Drosophila melanogaster: one gene and its partner. The main gene of each other region encodes a partner of the protein of the gene in region 2 in a complex. Each region holds a gene or a part of one and is shown on either strand. Other genes may lie near its edges. A codon is read from its position in the direction of its gene.

Evidence for each region. Proteins that work in one complex are often made in the same cells at the same time.
Region 1: the proteins of osk (region 2) and vas are in contact, whole or in part, in a crystal structure (PDB 5NT7), measured with the Drosophila melanogaster proteins. Residues at the interface, in NP_731295.1 of Drosophila melanogaster: Asp155 (codon at 4,253), Ser158 (codon at 4,262), Glu159 (codon at 4,265), Arg161 (codon at 4,271), Ala162 (codon at 4,274), Ile163 (codon at 4,277), Leu165 (codon at 4,283), Ser166 (codon at 4,286), His167 (codon at 4,289), Glu180 (codon at 4,576), Arg182 (codon at 4,582), Lys183 (codon at 4,585), Leu184 (codon at 4,588), Thr185 (codon at 4,591), Gly186 (codon at 4,594), Lys224 (codon at 4,708), Asn225 (codon at 4,711), His227 (codon at 4,717), Leu228 (codon at 4,720), Asp230 (codon at 4,726), Met231 (codon at 4,729), Val232 (codon at 4,732), Asn234 (codon at 4,738), Gln235 (codon at 4,741), Lys236 (codon at 4,744); in NP_001260458.1 of Drosophila melanogaster: Lys474, Tyr475, Arg478, Arg500, Asp503, Phe504, Ala506, Ser507, Phe508, Ser510, Glu511, Lys512, Glu513, Thr516, Thr517, Ser518, His520, Gly521, Asp522, Arg523, Leu524, Gln527, Arg528, Ala531, Met540.

The regions. Positions count from the first base shown.
Region 1 is NT_033779.5:15,058,037-15,064,655, forward strand, and holds the start of vas (vasa), read left to right. Parts: upstream 1-3,619; 5' UTR 3,620-3,746; intron 3,747-4,894; exon of another isoform or gene 4,895-6,397; coding exon of another isoform or gene 6,398-6,619. Other genes in the region: CG33679 (uncharacterized protein), read left to right, coding at 267-632, 696-851; TfIIS (RNA polymerase II elongation factor), read right to left, coding at 1,455-2,330, 2,397-2,462; vig (vasa intronic gene), read right to left, coding at 6,398-6,619. UniProt on the Drosophila melanogaster protein: Involved in translational control mechanisms operating in early stages of oogenesis.
Region 2 is NT_033777.3:8,931,356-8,940,157, forward strand, and holds osk (oskar), read left to right. Parts: upstream 1-3,770; 5' UTR 3,771-3,790; coding exon 3,791-4,325; intron 4,326-4,360; exon of another isoform or gene 4,361-4,444; intron 4,445-4,573; coding exon 4,574-4,991; intron 4,992-5,086; coding exon 5,087-5,851; intron 5,852-5,909; coding exon 5,910-6,012; 3' UTR 6,013-7,040; downstream 7,041-8,802. Other genes in the region: ScsbetaA (Succinyl-coenzyme A synthetase beta subunit, ADP-forming), read left to right, coding at 7,465-7,533, 8,314-8,417. UniProt on the Drosophila melanogaster protein: Organizes the germ plasm and directs localization of the posterior determinant nanos. Oskar protein is required to keep nanos (nos) RNA and staufen protein at the posterior pole.

The DNA.
Region 1 (6,619 bases), on a different chromosome or scaffold from region 2:
TATCGACCTGCCTAATTTCGGCGCGCATTTCAAAATATCTGTCATAAGCTATTGCATTTTTCAAGAAATATCTTTTTTCTATGTCAATATATTAAACATGTCGTCATATTAGCTCATTGAAGCGGTTTGTTGATTACCTAATTATTTATACGAACTGCGATAAGTAGTAATTAAAATCTAATTATGCCCCATCAGTAATTATATTTTTGGAAACCAGTACTCCACCATCGCGTAGAGTGGTCATTACATCCAGACTATTTGCCCTGATGAAGTACCTCTTGTGGATCAGCTTACTTTTCATTGGAGAATCCCATGGATACGTGCGCCTCACGAACCTCAAGTGCGAAAGCTATGACAAATCATTCGTCGTCTTTCCCGAATGCCGACTAAAAGTGCTTGGCAGGGGAATTATCGGAGCCAACATACACGTTAAGCTTCTGAAACTGCCAATAAATAGGATGGTCGTGAGATTCATCACTTACCGGAAGCTAAACGGATACCATCCGTTTCTATTTAATGTTTCCGAGGAACACTGTCGCGTCCTAAGGTATCCAAATCGTCTCAGAGTCTTCTACTATTTCTACACCGCCTTTATGCCCTTTTCCAATATTAATCATACATGTCCCTATAATGTAAGTATTTAGTTTCGCCAATATGACAATCATATTAAATCATATTAAAATATATATTTTAAGGATGATATTTACATAAGGAACTGCACCTTGGATGATCGTATGTTTGCCAAGGTCCCATTACCAAAGGGTAGCTATAAGTTAACCCTCGAAATGGATGATGGTGTCGTGAACTGGATTTCCATCATAAACATCCACTTTGAAATTGACGTTGACTAAGATGAACAAAACATTAGAACACCTAATGGATCTAACACAACGAACACATATTTATTTTGCGTTAATGTTTTAATTATTCCTATGCCCGCTATATGATATAGTTGTCCGATCTGGCCCGTTCCGACTTCTATACTTAATGCAATACAAAGTTCGTTAATGCAAATTGCTTTAAAACTGACTAATTACATCGGTTGTTAATACTCTTCGAGAATACATACACAATATGGCGTCTTATTTACTTCTCTGCTAGATCATTCTGAGTTATATTTATAATGTATTCATATTTACTTTGCTCAATGCTCAATTTATCGCCCCGCTGTGTTATCGGCGAGTTATCAGCAGCGTGGTCGTTATCACCGGCGTTTTTAAAAAACTGATTGCGGCAACAAGACGTCTCCGTTTTATCAATAGTTAATGTTTATTGAAATTTCTTTTCTCTCGTTTAAGGTTTAGGTGGTCAGAGTAAACGCCTCCGCAGTTGGGCAGCAGATACAAAATGTTTTCTCGCGTGTCGTGTCTTTACAATGTTTCATTTAAGAATATGAAGGATGTGTGGTGTGTGCTCATTTGGGATTGATTTATATTTTGGAACAATTTTGGGAGTTAGCAGAACTTCCATCGGTTGCCGCACTCGTTGCACATGACGAAGGTGGTCATAGGTTCATCGGCGGAACGAGTCTGCAGCTGGTTGTAGGTGCAGTTGCGCTTCTTGCACTTGGCGCACTTGAGGAGATCGGTCTTGGTGCCCTGCACGGTGGCCAGCTGGGCATCGTTGATGGCCTCCTTGACGAACTTCTCGCGCAGCTTCTTCATCTCATCGCTGGCCATCTCCTCCGGCGTCATTTTGGCCAGCTGCTTGGCAGTGACGGCGCCGCACATAAAGTTGCCTCGCAATCCAGGATTTTTGGGGTCCTTCAGATTGGCCACGCGTGACCTAATGCGATTCTTGTACTTCATATCCGTGTTATTGAACTCGGAGTAAATGGCATCCTCCAGTTCGGCGGCCATTTCCTCCGGCTCACCGCATCCTTCGGGCACTTCACCAATCTTCAGTGCGGTGGCCAGCATTTCGCGGCATTTGATGCGGACCGCATCTGTCATGCCGCCGGAGGGAAACGAGGTCTGTGACGAGGATGTCGAGCCTTTCTTCTCTTTATCCTTGGATGAGCTGGATGAACTGGACTTATCCTTGCCGGAGATTGACGACGACGACTTGGCGGCACTGGTGGACTTCGAGGCACTGCTGTTGTTGGAGGAGCCCTCCTTAGCGGAGCTGTTGTTCGGTGTGGTTGGCGCCGGGCTGGCGAGGAATCGTTTCCAGTTCTTGATCAGCGTCTTGGCCAGAGCGATCACCTCGTCGTCCTTGCTACTCTTGCGCAGCTCGTTTACGGTCATGCCGATGCGCGTTTTGGTCAGAATGTCGAGATTGATGTTAAGCGTTTGCAGGGCCTTCAGCAGGTCCAGAGCCTGATCCTGTCCCTGTACGGTGGATATATGTATATTTGTGACATGATGCGCGGCACGTTAGCTAATCCCGATACTTACTGTGCCGTCGCTGGCCATCTTGCTCATCTTCTTTTGGATTCGAAACACTTCCTCCTCCACGCTCATTTTGGCCCACTTAATTTGATCAGAGGTTAGGTTAACTGGCGTCGGCTGTCGGCTTTAATCGGTGCTGCGGGTCTGCGACAGTTGTTTATGCGGAAGCCGGGCTATTTCTTTTTTTCCCTCCAATAAATGTTGTTTACTATTTTTTTCGTTTCTGTATTCGCAGAACGAGTTGACAGAACACCCTAACGCGTTTTAGTGTTACCGGGCGGTGGCTTGTCAAGAAATGCCTTCCCATGGCTAATACAATTCCCAACTGGAAGTAGTTTGGGTTTCAGAAGTCAACAGTGTTACCGTATTTTAATGTACATCTGGCTTTTAAGCGAGTACACACACATAGCATTGCGATGTTTTTTAAACTTGCACTGCTTGCAAGCAGGGCTCCACTGTATTTCAATGAAAGAACAGCGTGTTGGGCGTTTTTGAATTATACTAATTACCTTCAATAACAATTCCCTATATATCACTTAGTTTTAATAAATAAATCGTTTGAGTGTGGTCTAGAGATGATGTATTATGATGAAGTGCGGTTGTTGGGGACAAGCGGGATACGTCTGCGGGTCAAATCGGCGGTGGGACATAGTGAGAGGGCAACGGCTCCAAAACCAAGCGTTGCGAACAATCACCAACGCGCCCTGGTACGCGAGAAATGTTGATATCGCACATGACCTCAGCATCCACCTTCAGTTTGAGAACAAATTAAATCAGGCACATACCAGACAACCAGGAGAACACTGAGGAGGCGTCATCAAAGATATCTTTGGACACGTGGCATAAACAAGCCAAACTATTATCTAATCAATATTTTTATACAAATTTTGTATGTTTCCATGTTATCTTCGTTGCTCCTGTTAGTTACTACGTTTCATAGCCCTTAAATTGGTTGCTTAACGTAAAATAAAATTATATTGTATAAAAATAAAGAGGAATTCACCTATAACAAACGAAAAAGTAAATAAATAAGAACTTCCCCATGTTAAAAATGCCACCACCATCTTTACATATAAGTATGTACATATGAATGAATCACTTAGGTTGCTTGAATATTACAATTTCATTAATAGCTAAATCACATTTGATGTGTTAGTGGAAAACGGCTATATATATAAATTATCGAAATTGTGAATATCGAATTGCGATAGCACAATGGGAAATTCCACCACTAGATTTTTGGTACTTTTAACAGATCCTTTTCGGTTTTGCGTTGCGCGAAGTGATCTGAACTTATCAAAGTTTGTAAGGTAATACATAAAGTGAAAAAGAATTAATTTGCTCTTGAAAGGCAGGGTAAGTAGCAAGAGACTATCTTAGTGATATGCAATTAGTTTTGAATCGGATTTAATTTTGCAACATTAAAAATAAGCTCATTAAAACTTGTCTAAATTGACTCGACAAGTTTTTCATTTTCCAATTTTTAAATCCGCAAAATTAAAACCATTTGAAAACGTATTACATATATTATTCCCCTTATCATTTTTAATTCTTCTATTGTAAAAACTATCCCATTTAAATATTAATGTTACACCCATTTTCGTTTTACAATTTTCGAATACTTAAGCTCATTTTGACTTCATTCTTCCATTTTCGGTTATGTTTCAGCGTTGTCGAAGCCCCTTTTTGTACTTCTAACGGATTTTTCTCATATTGTTACACCCATTTTCGTTTTACAATTTTCGAATACTTACTTTTATTAAGCTCCTTTTGACTTCATTCGTTCATTTTCGGTTATGTTTCAGAGTTGTCGAAGCACCTTTTTGTACTTATTACGGATTTTTCTCCTTATTTGACTGTAGCAATTAGAGAGCTTGGCAACCCTAGAACATGAATTCCTAATTTGGTTTCCTCTTTGCGTTCTATTCTAACAGGATCTTGAAAGGTCTAATATAAAAAAAAGATTTTGCGTGTAAAGTTGATTCATTTTTTTAAAAAGAAAATAAGTTGAAAGTAAAAATTGTCCCATTTTCTGGTTATTGGCATCGTATCTTTCTTTCGTGTGCGTTTCTTGATTTACGCTTTGAAATGTTGTCCTATTCGGCTTTCTCATTCTGGGTTATGTCCAATTTTTTTTTTTTTGCTTTTCCGCATATTTGTTGGCTTTTCTGTTCTGTCTATTCTATCTTTCGCCTTGTGTTTGTGTGCAACTTTGTTTTATGTGTTTGCCAATTTGTAACACTTGCATTCCATCTAAAAACTTACCGTTAAAAGTATAAGAACAAGCACAACAAAGAATTCATTCATTGTAGGTTTTCGTGAATAAAATTGAGAATACTGCATTAGATTTGTTTAGGTTTCGTTTCATTCCGTAATTCTTTCCGTCTCCACTTACCATTCGCTTTATGATCTTTTGTAACTCCTCGAATTACATCTTGCTCTTTCATGAACTTTTTCATTCTTTTTTGCCCCAAAATTTTCAAACTTACATCAAGTGTTTTTTTGGTTCTTTATTTTTATCAAATAAATGTTCTTGTTTTATGTTTAAACGAGTTGCTCAACATTTGTTGAATGGTTTCTTTGGGTCAAAATACAATACAATATTTCAAAAAATGTCGTATATTTTTTCATCTACGTTTTCCTCCATATTCATTTGCTCTATCATTTCTTTGCTTTGTGTGTTTGTTTCGCCGTCATAAAATTGATTTTACCATGTATGTACGAATATATATCTCATATAATTTACATAGTTTCTAGTTAATTGTAGGCAAACGATTTTACAGGGATCTTCAAATTAGCGTTTTCGGGAGTGGTTCTCTCATATGACTCGAAATGGATATTTTTGAAAGTTTCCCTCCAACTATAATCTACTTATTAAAGGTTTCTAATTTGCTCCAATAGTTAATCAATATTTTTTGTTTTTATTTCTTTAATAATGCTTAAATTAATATTGTTTTGTTTTTGTATTTCCGTGTGTGTGTGTAAGTTCAGTTAGGTATTTATAATTAAAAGTAGTATATATGATGCATAGTCCTCTGTTTAATTATTAAATTTAAATGTTTAATCATAGAATTTGCATCCAAGAAACACAGTTACAAAGGTTTTAACACTTACTATTCTTTCGGTTTTGGGTTTCTTTCACGATCCACTGATTTTTATATTTCTCCCTTTTGTTTTTCTTTATTTTAAATAAACGTTAACATAGTAAAAATAATAAAGCGTACATTTCGCTACGAAAAGTTGATTCGTAATTGAACAAAAAAATTTATGAGTAATGAAAATGCTTTTACTGTTCTCTCGATGAAAACAAACTATTGTAATAGTGTATTTTTCTTCTTTACAAAGAAGAATTTATCAGGCCGTGATGTTGAATATTATATATTTTATCTTTAGTTTATTTTATTCGCCTTGATCACTGGTTAGCGACTGTAATTTGTTTTTATAAGGTAGGATGATTTTTTGATTAGGTGAGTGGTAATAACATAAAAATAAACAACTTCACATCAGGTTTTGGTTGATGCAATAAAACAATTTCCATGACCGCCCCTGCCGTTTTAGAAAAAATCTCGAAACAAATCTCGTATTGTGAACAGCTACTAGATATAAAGTCCATAATGAGGATAACTTAGCCTGACACTGACTAGTTTACACGAGGTCACTTGCTTGATCGCGATTTTATCGTGTAAAATCTGATTTAGTTGGCCACGTATAAACTAAAATTGCTTTTCGTGTGTTCTCTTTTCATATATCTTTAAACATATGTATAATTTATTATCCGTTTTTTTTTACTTAGCTTGTTGGTTGGTATTTTTGTTGCTTTTGGCTTATAATGGCGGCTACAATTGTTTTCGTAATTTCCCCATTTTTCTTTTAGTTTTTAAAAAGTTTGTTGTCTGTGATATACGTAATTTATAAGTTTTCATTTTGGTAACTTGCTGCTTTCATTCACCATCGTCAGTAACCAAAACTGCAATTTGAGGAACCTACTCCTGCCCAAAACGATCGATTTAAGCCAGAGTGGGAAACTGACGCTCATCGTTGACCTTGGGAGCGGTGTTCTGTTGTCGCTCAAAACGCTTATTCGGCCCTGGACCGCTGTTCTGATTGTTGTTCTGGTTGTTTCCCGGACCGCGACGATCGATGGGTGGCCTTTGATTTTGAGCGGATGAACCGCCGCCCTCGTTATTATGCTGCTGGCCATCCCGTGGGCCACGGTTTCCACCCTCACG
Region 2 (8,802 bases):
GTGAGACTTAAAATTTATACGAATTGAATTCACTTTTATATTTCCTTTTTATAGCTTTTCTGTTAATTATTTCAAAGGGTTTTACGGTTATTCGAGCACTAGTAGTTTACATAGGTTTAGCTAAATAATTTCTTCACTGCCTTGCACTTTATTTGCTTTATTTTGCCAAACAAAAAACAGTAGTACTGGTTTCCTAAATAGTTATATTTTAATCGTTATTAGTTTACGCTTTGTTTAATCCTTTTTATTAGAAATTTTCTCACTTTTGGGCGAGTAACACGTAAAATCGCGCGCCATTTATTTTCTTTCGATTTTTATTACACAGCACTTCGATAGCTGAAAATTCCTTAATTCGTGTGTGCTGGTCAAAAATTATTTATGTTTCCGAGATCAAACATTTAAACTTTTACCGGCTCTTTCGCATTCGTATTTGTTTGTTTATGTTTTAAAACGCCTGTATAGATTTCAAGTTCACGACTCGGCCATTTCAACTCGTCCGCTCCGCACAACCGCACAAGCGCGATAATCTGAACCGACTGAGAACCAAATTCGAGCGAAGCAGCTGCAAAGGAAACGCAAGTGTCAGAGATGCGTCGTTGCGGCGAAAAACCTGTTTCTGGCGGGGAAATGTGCAAGCAGTATAGCTAAAAATTGATGAACTGCGTGAAACTGACCTATGTTTGGTTAAGGTTTGGTGATGTGTTTTGTTTTTATTTTTTATATCTGTTGTTGAATATTTTTTTGTCGTCCTTGGATGGGCCATTAATAAATTCACTTCGTCTGTCTATTTGGATTTCGTTCTAGCCTTTAAGCTCTTAACTGCTAACGAATCGCCATTACTAGCGAGTAACAACAAAATGGTTCATCAATAAGTTATCGATAACTTAAGTCGCACATCCGTTATTGAATAGGAATTTAAAATTTTACACCTTCAACATTAAATCTTTTTTTTAAATAAAGTCTTTTCTACAGGGCAAGCAACGTCTCGTTGACAGAAGCGTTTCCAAGCTGATCGTTGTTTGTATTTGTAAATTGTGTTTGTATTGACATTGCCTTTGACCTTTGCTAAAATATTAAAACCCTTAAATAAACAGTAAATCAAATAAATGTGATTTAAATTGTAATGAAGTATTATTCTAAAAAAATGTAAGATACATTTTTAAAACTTTAAAAAATAAACACTTAAGGTGCACGCAGGCATTCATTATTTTTGAAAATAAATATCCAAAGTGACTGGCAGCCTTCCGTCAAGACAGCTTCGAAATTACCATATCGTGTGGGCATAATGAGGACTTTCTTGGGGTTCAAAAACCGGAATCGGAAGCAGTCTTACGGTCTGCGACACCTAGCCTTGATTAATTGCCAACCGGCCACACACTCAGCCAGATGCTTAGCCGTTTATCTCGAGTGTTTTGCCATTTTACAATCTGTTGGCCAACCTGTAACCGGTCATCATAAAGGAGTTAGCCATGCACTGTCCAAAAATTGATTGTAGACCAAGAACTTAATCTCGAATTAAGTTAACTTCATATTCCAATCATTCCAAACTATTACAAATCGAAATGGATTGATTGACTAGAACGATCTTTCCGTATATTTTATTTATTTTCCGTTTTATTTTTCCGTTTTTTTCTTCAGTGTGTTCCACATCCATAGAATTACAGCAGGGCTCTAATTACGTGTGTTTGAATTGCGGCGCCCTGATTAAGGCCCTTTTGCAGGGCAATCAATCGATTTGCTGCGGAGTAATAATAACAGATGTTAAGCCAGACTCTGGAAACGGATAAGGATAATTACTGGAAATTAGTGATGGAGCTGCCGCCGAAAGGCGATCAGATTCAGTTGCCATTGGGGTGAACTTCTGGTTAATCGTGTGCAACGCAATCAGCATTCCTGAGATTTTCCGCCTGTCAGCAGATTAACAGGTGTCTCTCCGCCCCACCAAAGTGAGGCAATAGCTAAATTGTTCGCATAAATTGATTACAATAATTTGCCTATCCCCCAACATTTAGCCGCCCTCTGCGAAATGAATTCGCTGCTGGTAAAAATTCTAAGACAGCAGACAGAATAACAACAAGTTGCTCCGTCGGCTTCCATAATTTATGCAGAAATGCAGTCGAACCCAATGAAAAGTGTCGTTCACAAATCTAGGCGGTAAATTGCTTTTTGCGATTTCCAATGCACACCCACCACACGCAAATGCAAAAGTTGTCAATCAAAAATGGTCGTCAATCATGGTAGTAGTTGTTAGAAAGGAAGAGAGTAGGAAAATGTCTTTAAAAATATTAAACAAATTTATTTTTCAGTGGTTACTTCCTACAATTACGCTTATAGAAATACAAGGAAGGTTGCCAAATACCATAAATATATGTATAATTCCTTACCTTACAATCGAGTGACCACTGTAATTCTTAGCTGGGAGTAGAGAGAATGAGAGAGGGCCTGGAATGCAAATTACTATTATTACCGGACAATTGCCCTGTGCTGTGCGAGTGCATTCAAAATATTTGAAACACCACCCGAAAAGGGAAAATTGAATGGCAAGAAAAGCCGGCTGATTCATCCCACTCTAAATTATTGGGCTTACACATTCAGCAAATAAAAATGGGAGAAGGGTCGAGATTTATAAATTGGACCACATGTTCTCGCCCAGTTTTTCTACATACATATAGTATTGTATTGCTCGTCACGTCTCTGCAGCATCCTCTGCAATTAAGGCAAGGCTAGGGAAAATATACAGTCCAACATCTATAAGGAAGTACTTCCCTAAATTACAGATAGGTTGTAGTGGCACTAACTATTGCCCATTCTATATATATTACCCTTTGAACCCATCAACACCTTATTGAAAATTATTTTTTTATTATTCTGATCTGCTAGTTAAGTAAAATTTTTACTGATTTAATTTTTGTAATTTCTTGCTGGTACGCATTACTGATGTTTGACTGTATCCAACTTGCTTAAGCTAAGAAGCCATAATCCTCCTTCCGATTGTCTGTGCTTCTTCCGGGGTGCCGGAATCATCACGAGATGTAAGAAAGCCCCTGAGTCATCCATCAATCGCTGGACTAACCCTCAGAGCAAGTGCCTCCATTACCCTTCTCGGAGTTTCAGGTGCACTTGCTGTATGGATGGATAATCATCTCCTGGGGAATTGCTGCCAAGCAGCTCCATTTGCCGATTAGCCGACAGACCACCAGAGCACCACCGCACGTGGTAACGCTCGTCGGCACCATTTGAGTTATTCTGGAATTTATGTATATGCTACTTCGTAATTGCTTATCAAGCAGCTCTGCAGACCCACTGGCGTGCTGTTTTCTAATCTGGACCAAGAGAAAGGCCATTAAAACGAATGTCCAGCTGGAACGGAGTGCAAACTGCTTTGTGTAATGGTCGTCAAATGGCAATGCAGGTGGTAATTTCGTTTAATTGTTTTTACTGGCTACGTAGACTGCTTTGAATGTTAACCTAATGGTGGGCGAATGGGAACAAATTGATAAAAAAATTAAAGAAAATGAATATATATATATATATATAGGTTCTATATTAGGTTCTGAAAACAGTTTTTTATTTTTTCAAAATTTTTTGGTTGTACCACCCTAATGTATTTTCACAAATTCTGTTGATCTGGAAACATTATCTCTGCAAACTGCTCACCGTTACTTCTGTTGCGCCTGCTCTTTCGCCTTCCAGTACGAAAAGCACCGTAAGTCTCCAAAATGCAGATGAATGGAGAAGTGGACCGCGTTGGCGAGGGATCCAAGAATATTGGATCACTTTCCTCCAAGCGATGGCCGCAGTCACAAGTGAATTCCCCAGCAAACCGATCAGTTATACCAGCACCAATACTTCCGCCAAAACCTATTATCTTAAGTCCGTGAAAAAGCGGGTGACCACGTGTTTCCAGCAGTTGCGCGATAAACTCCAGTCATCCGGTTCCTTTCGCAAGAGTTCCTCCAGCTGCCTCAACCAGATCTTCGTAAGGTCCGATTTCTCCGCATGCGGCGAACGCTTTCGGAAGATCTTCAAATCGGCGCGAAAAACCGAATTGCCGGAGTTGTGGAAGGTGCCATTGGTGGCCCATGAACTCACCAGCCGGCAGAGCAGCCAGCAGTTGCAAGTCGTAGCCAGACTCTTCTCGTCCACTCAGATTTCCACCAAGGAAATCACCTACAACAGCAACAGCAACACCAGCGAGAACAACATGACCATCATCGAGAGCAACTATATATCCGTGCGCGAGGAATATCCCGATATAGATAGTGAGGTGCGCGCCATATTGCTGAGCCACGCCCAGAATGGAATCACGATATCGAGCATCAAGAGTGAGTAGCTTTATGTTTGAAAGCTTTCTTCTTTCCAGAAGTTTCGACTTCATCAAACACTTCAGAACTTTCTCTAAGTGGCTATATTTAGTTAGAAATCTAAAATGTATAAATTTTTAGTAGGTTATTAAATTTTATTTGGATTATATAACTTTTATAGTTTAGTATATTTATTTTAATTTATATTTTTTCTATGTTTCTTTTTTGTAAGATTACCCTTAAATAATTCTATAATTGAAATTCGCCAGGTGAATATCGAAAACTGACGGGCAATCCATTTCCACTGCACGACAACGTGACGGATTTCCTGCTGACCATTCCCAATGTGACCGCTGAGTGCAGCGAGTCCGGTAAGCGGATCTTCAACCTGAAAGCGAGCCTGAAGAACGGTCACCTCCTGGATATGGTGCTCAACCAGAAAGAGCGCACCAGCGACTACAGCAGCGGAGCTCCGTCCCTGGAGAACATACCACGAGCACCTCCACGCTACTGGAAGAATCCCTTCAAACGGAGGGCTCTGTCCCAGCTGAACACCAGCCCGAGGACCGTGCCCAAGATAACGGATGAAAAGACCAAGGATATCGCCACCAGGCCGGTTTCGCTGCATCAAATGGCCAATGAGGCAGCGGAGTCGAACTGGTGCTACCAGGATAATTGGAAGCATCTGTGAGTACTGAAAAGGTGTTTTGTAGACAGTGCAACTATAGCAAAAATAAACCTTTACTTAACAAAATGTACTAATCTTTCTACTGAACTCCTAGCAACAATTTCTACCAGCAAGCCAGCGTAAATGCGCCAAAAATGCCAGTACCCATCAACATCTACAGCCCCGATGCCCCAGAGGAACCAATCAATTTGGCTCCACCTGGGCATCAGCCAAGCTGCAGAACCCAAAGCCAGAAAACCGAACCGACTGAAAACCGCCATTTGGGCATCTTTGTGCATCCATTTAACGGCATGAACATAATGAAGAGACGCCACGAAATGACGCCCACGCCAACGATTTTAACCAGTGGAACCTACAACGATTCTCTGCTGACGATTAACTCGGATTACGATGCCTATCTGCTGGACTTTCCGCTTATGGGCGATGATTTTATGCTATATCTCGCCCGAATGGAGCTAAAATGCCGATTTAGGCGTCACGAACGCGTCCTGCAGTCAGGACTTTGTGTATCCGGACTGACGATCAATGGCGCCCGAAATCGTTTAAAAAGAGTCCAATTACCCGAGGGTACTCAGATCATCGTCAATATCGGATCGGTGGACATTATGCGCGGCAAGCCTTTGGTTCAGATCGAGCACGATTTTCGGCTACTGATCAAGGAGATGCACAATATGCGATTGGTGCCGATTCTAACAAATCTTGCACCGCTGGGCAACTATTGTCACGATAAGGTATTATGTGACAAAATCTACCGATTCAACAAGTTTATCCGAAGCGAATGCTGTCACCTAAAGGTCATCGACATACACTCCTGTCTAATCAACGAAAGGGGCGTGGTGCGATTTGATTGCTTTCAGGCGTAAGACTTTATACCATATACCATATCATATGAGTTTACGATTTGTGCCACTTTTCAGCTCACCACGCCAAGTCACCGGTTCCAAGGAACCCTATCTGTTCTGGAACAAAATCGGTCGGCAGCGCGTACTGCAAGTTATTGAAACGAGTCTGGAGTATTAAGTTGGGTTCTTAATCAAGATACATATATGCAAATTTTGACTGGGCTGGCACCGGAACCGACAAAATAAGAACTTTTTGATGATTTTACGATTTACGCTGATGGATCGCTGCTTTTACGGAATTCGCTTAGTTTTAATATGTTTTATATGTAGTATGTTCTCTGTCTTTGTTTATTTATATGTTCGTGCACTTGTCCTAGTCCATTATTGTATATTATTGTGTGTTTTGTGTTCTATGTTAGATTTAAACTTCTCAATTTTTCGCTGTCTGTGATTTGTTTTGCCAATGCCATTGATTTTCTGCACACTTTTTGCTGCTATCCCAAAAGCTGTGTAAAATAATCAAATGCAAAATAAGCGCAAGCAGCTGAAAACTTCTCTTCAAACTTTTCCGCTTTTCCCAAAACCATTTTGCTTTGAAATCTGTTTTTACCAAATCAGATTAAACTGCAAAATGGAACTTAAATGCAAATCATTGCAATGCTTATAAACTGTTTTTTGTTCTATATACTTTTGTGTGGGTCAAAATTCGGCATGCTCCTGTATCACACAACCTGCCACTTGCCCTTAAAAAGAAGGGCGCAGTGGGCGTGGTACGTATACATATGAGCCATGCTGCATTTTGGCCGTAATGAAAATGCACTGCTTTACTTGGAAAATTCGCTTGCACAAAATCAACGCCGCGGCTGATTTATTATTGATGTGCTCAAGCAAATTCAAGTGAAGCATTTGCGCGATTTTCGTCTTTCTGTTTCCGTTTGCAAAAAAGTTTATAAAATGCTTACACTCTGCTGCAGACACGCCAACCGGAAGTGCGCACTAAGCGCTTGTTTGTAGCACAGTGTAGAATTCTGGCGTAATTTACAGCTCTACTTTAAAGTCTTCTAGATAGCTATCTACTATTTATAAACTTATTTATTGTCTTGAATGTATGTTAATTGTATGTATTGATGGTGATCACGTTTTTTTTGTCCTATAACAAGCTGCAATGTAAAATCCAAAAAAAAAATGAAAAAATAAAATAAAAGGGAAATCAATGATTTTGTTTGCTCTAAGCTATGTTCAAAGTAACTGGGAACTAATCGAACTAATTTCGATTTAAAAGTGGTCTAGATTATATTGTGACATTTGTGAATATATTATTATATTTGCGAATTTATTATTATCATAAAAATAACGGTAGTTGAAAAATAATTTAGATGGCATGCAATATTAAAAGTTCCCGCCAAATTGGCTTGAATCTTTGCTAATATATTACAGTTTCCAACCTTGCATTAAGTTCACGATAGTTTTTCGGCATTTTCGATTGTAAAAGCATAAAAAAGTCCCTGCTATCGAAGCTCTACCACCTCCATCAGCAGGCGACGGCAAAAAAATCTTGAAATGTAAGCAGTAACGTCAAAATTCGCTTTCAAATCGTTAAACGTACGTTCTCATTCGATTTCAGAACAAAATGGCTTCATTCTTGGCACGAACTGGCGGCCCCCTGATCGAAACCGTTAGGCCAGCGGCCATAAAAAAGGTGAGTTCGCCAATTAGTAGTCATATTTGTGTGTAAAAAATGCGAAAATCCGTCGCTTTACATAATAAGGCGAAAAGAGAGAGTGAACACCTACGCTGTCCCCTTCTCTGTCTCTCACTTACTCACACATGTGAAATGCTGATCGTTTATCGGTACAAAAAAAAAACTTAAGCGATAATTTAAGTTCTTTGCCATTTGTTAACTAATTGTTTCTCCAGAGAAACGGGGAGAGTGTGAGATTTAAAGAGAGTCACGATCACCAAAGACACCTGACTTTTTTATTGTGTCAGTGTGACGCAACTGTGCGCTTTTCGTACGCATGTGTGTGTGTGGGGACCTTGAAAGCCCCATTTATTCCCCCACTTAATTTAGTTTGTTTTTTATCAATGAGCAGCTGACAACTGTTGCTTATCGTTTGTGGTTGTTGTTGCTGTTGTCGCCGGGCCCTCTAATTAAATTCTTAATCTGTGAATTAGTTTCGGTTATCACCGGGAAACGCCGTTAGCCGGACGAACTTGCTCTTAACCCAGATTTCGTTTCTTTTCGCCGCTTTTTGTTTATGTTTTTTTCACATGAATCACCGAACCAGTTTTTTTATGTTTAATTTTTGCTTGACAATGACCTCGTGACTGGAATTAAGATTTCATTTATAAGTACAATAAGTTTCGAAATCGTTTTTATTTTCATCCTTTTAAATATATTTTTAATTATTTTTCTTGTTATCTTTAATTAGCATCTAATTTTCGCAAATTAACATGGCAAAAATTCCAACCTTTTCAGATTCTTGGCCTGGCTCCCATCGCCGTCCAGCAGCTGAGGAACCTCAATGTCCAGGAACACGTTTCCTACAGTCTGCTCAATGAGGCCAAGATCCCAACACCTCGGTGAGTAAACCCAATCGGAATTATCAAAATCGCGGGCAAACAACCAACAATTTGCGTCAAAGTCGCAGTCCAAAGTTCAATGAAAGTGCCGCGTTGTCGTTGCGTCGTCTGTTTCCTTTGGCTTATGTGCGTTTTGGACTTTGCCTGAACTTAATAATATGCATTGAGTATAGCCGACTACGGGGTAAACAAACCAGAGAAACGCAGCCGCCGATGATAAGGGTGATAACAAGTTTTATACTATAACACACTTTGATCGGCGTAAAGTGACAAGGGTCAGTGACGTGGGCTTTGATAAGATGGAAGCGGCATTAGTTGACGTCTATCATAATTAAACTAACTAAATATACATAAACTTTGGGTAAAGAAAATATATTTTAATGTT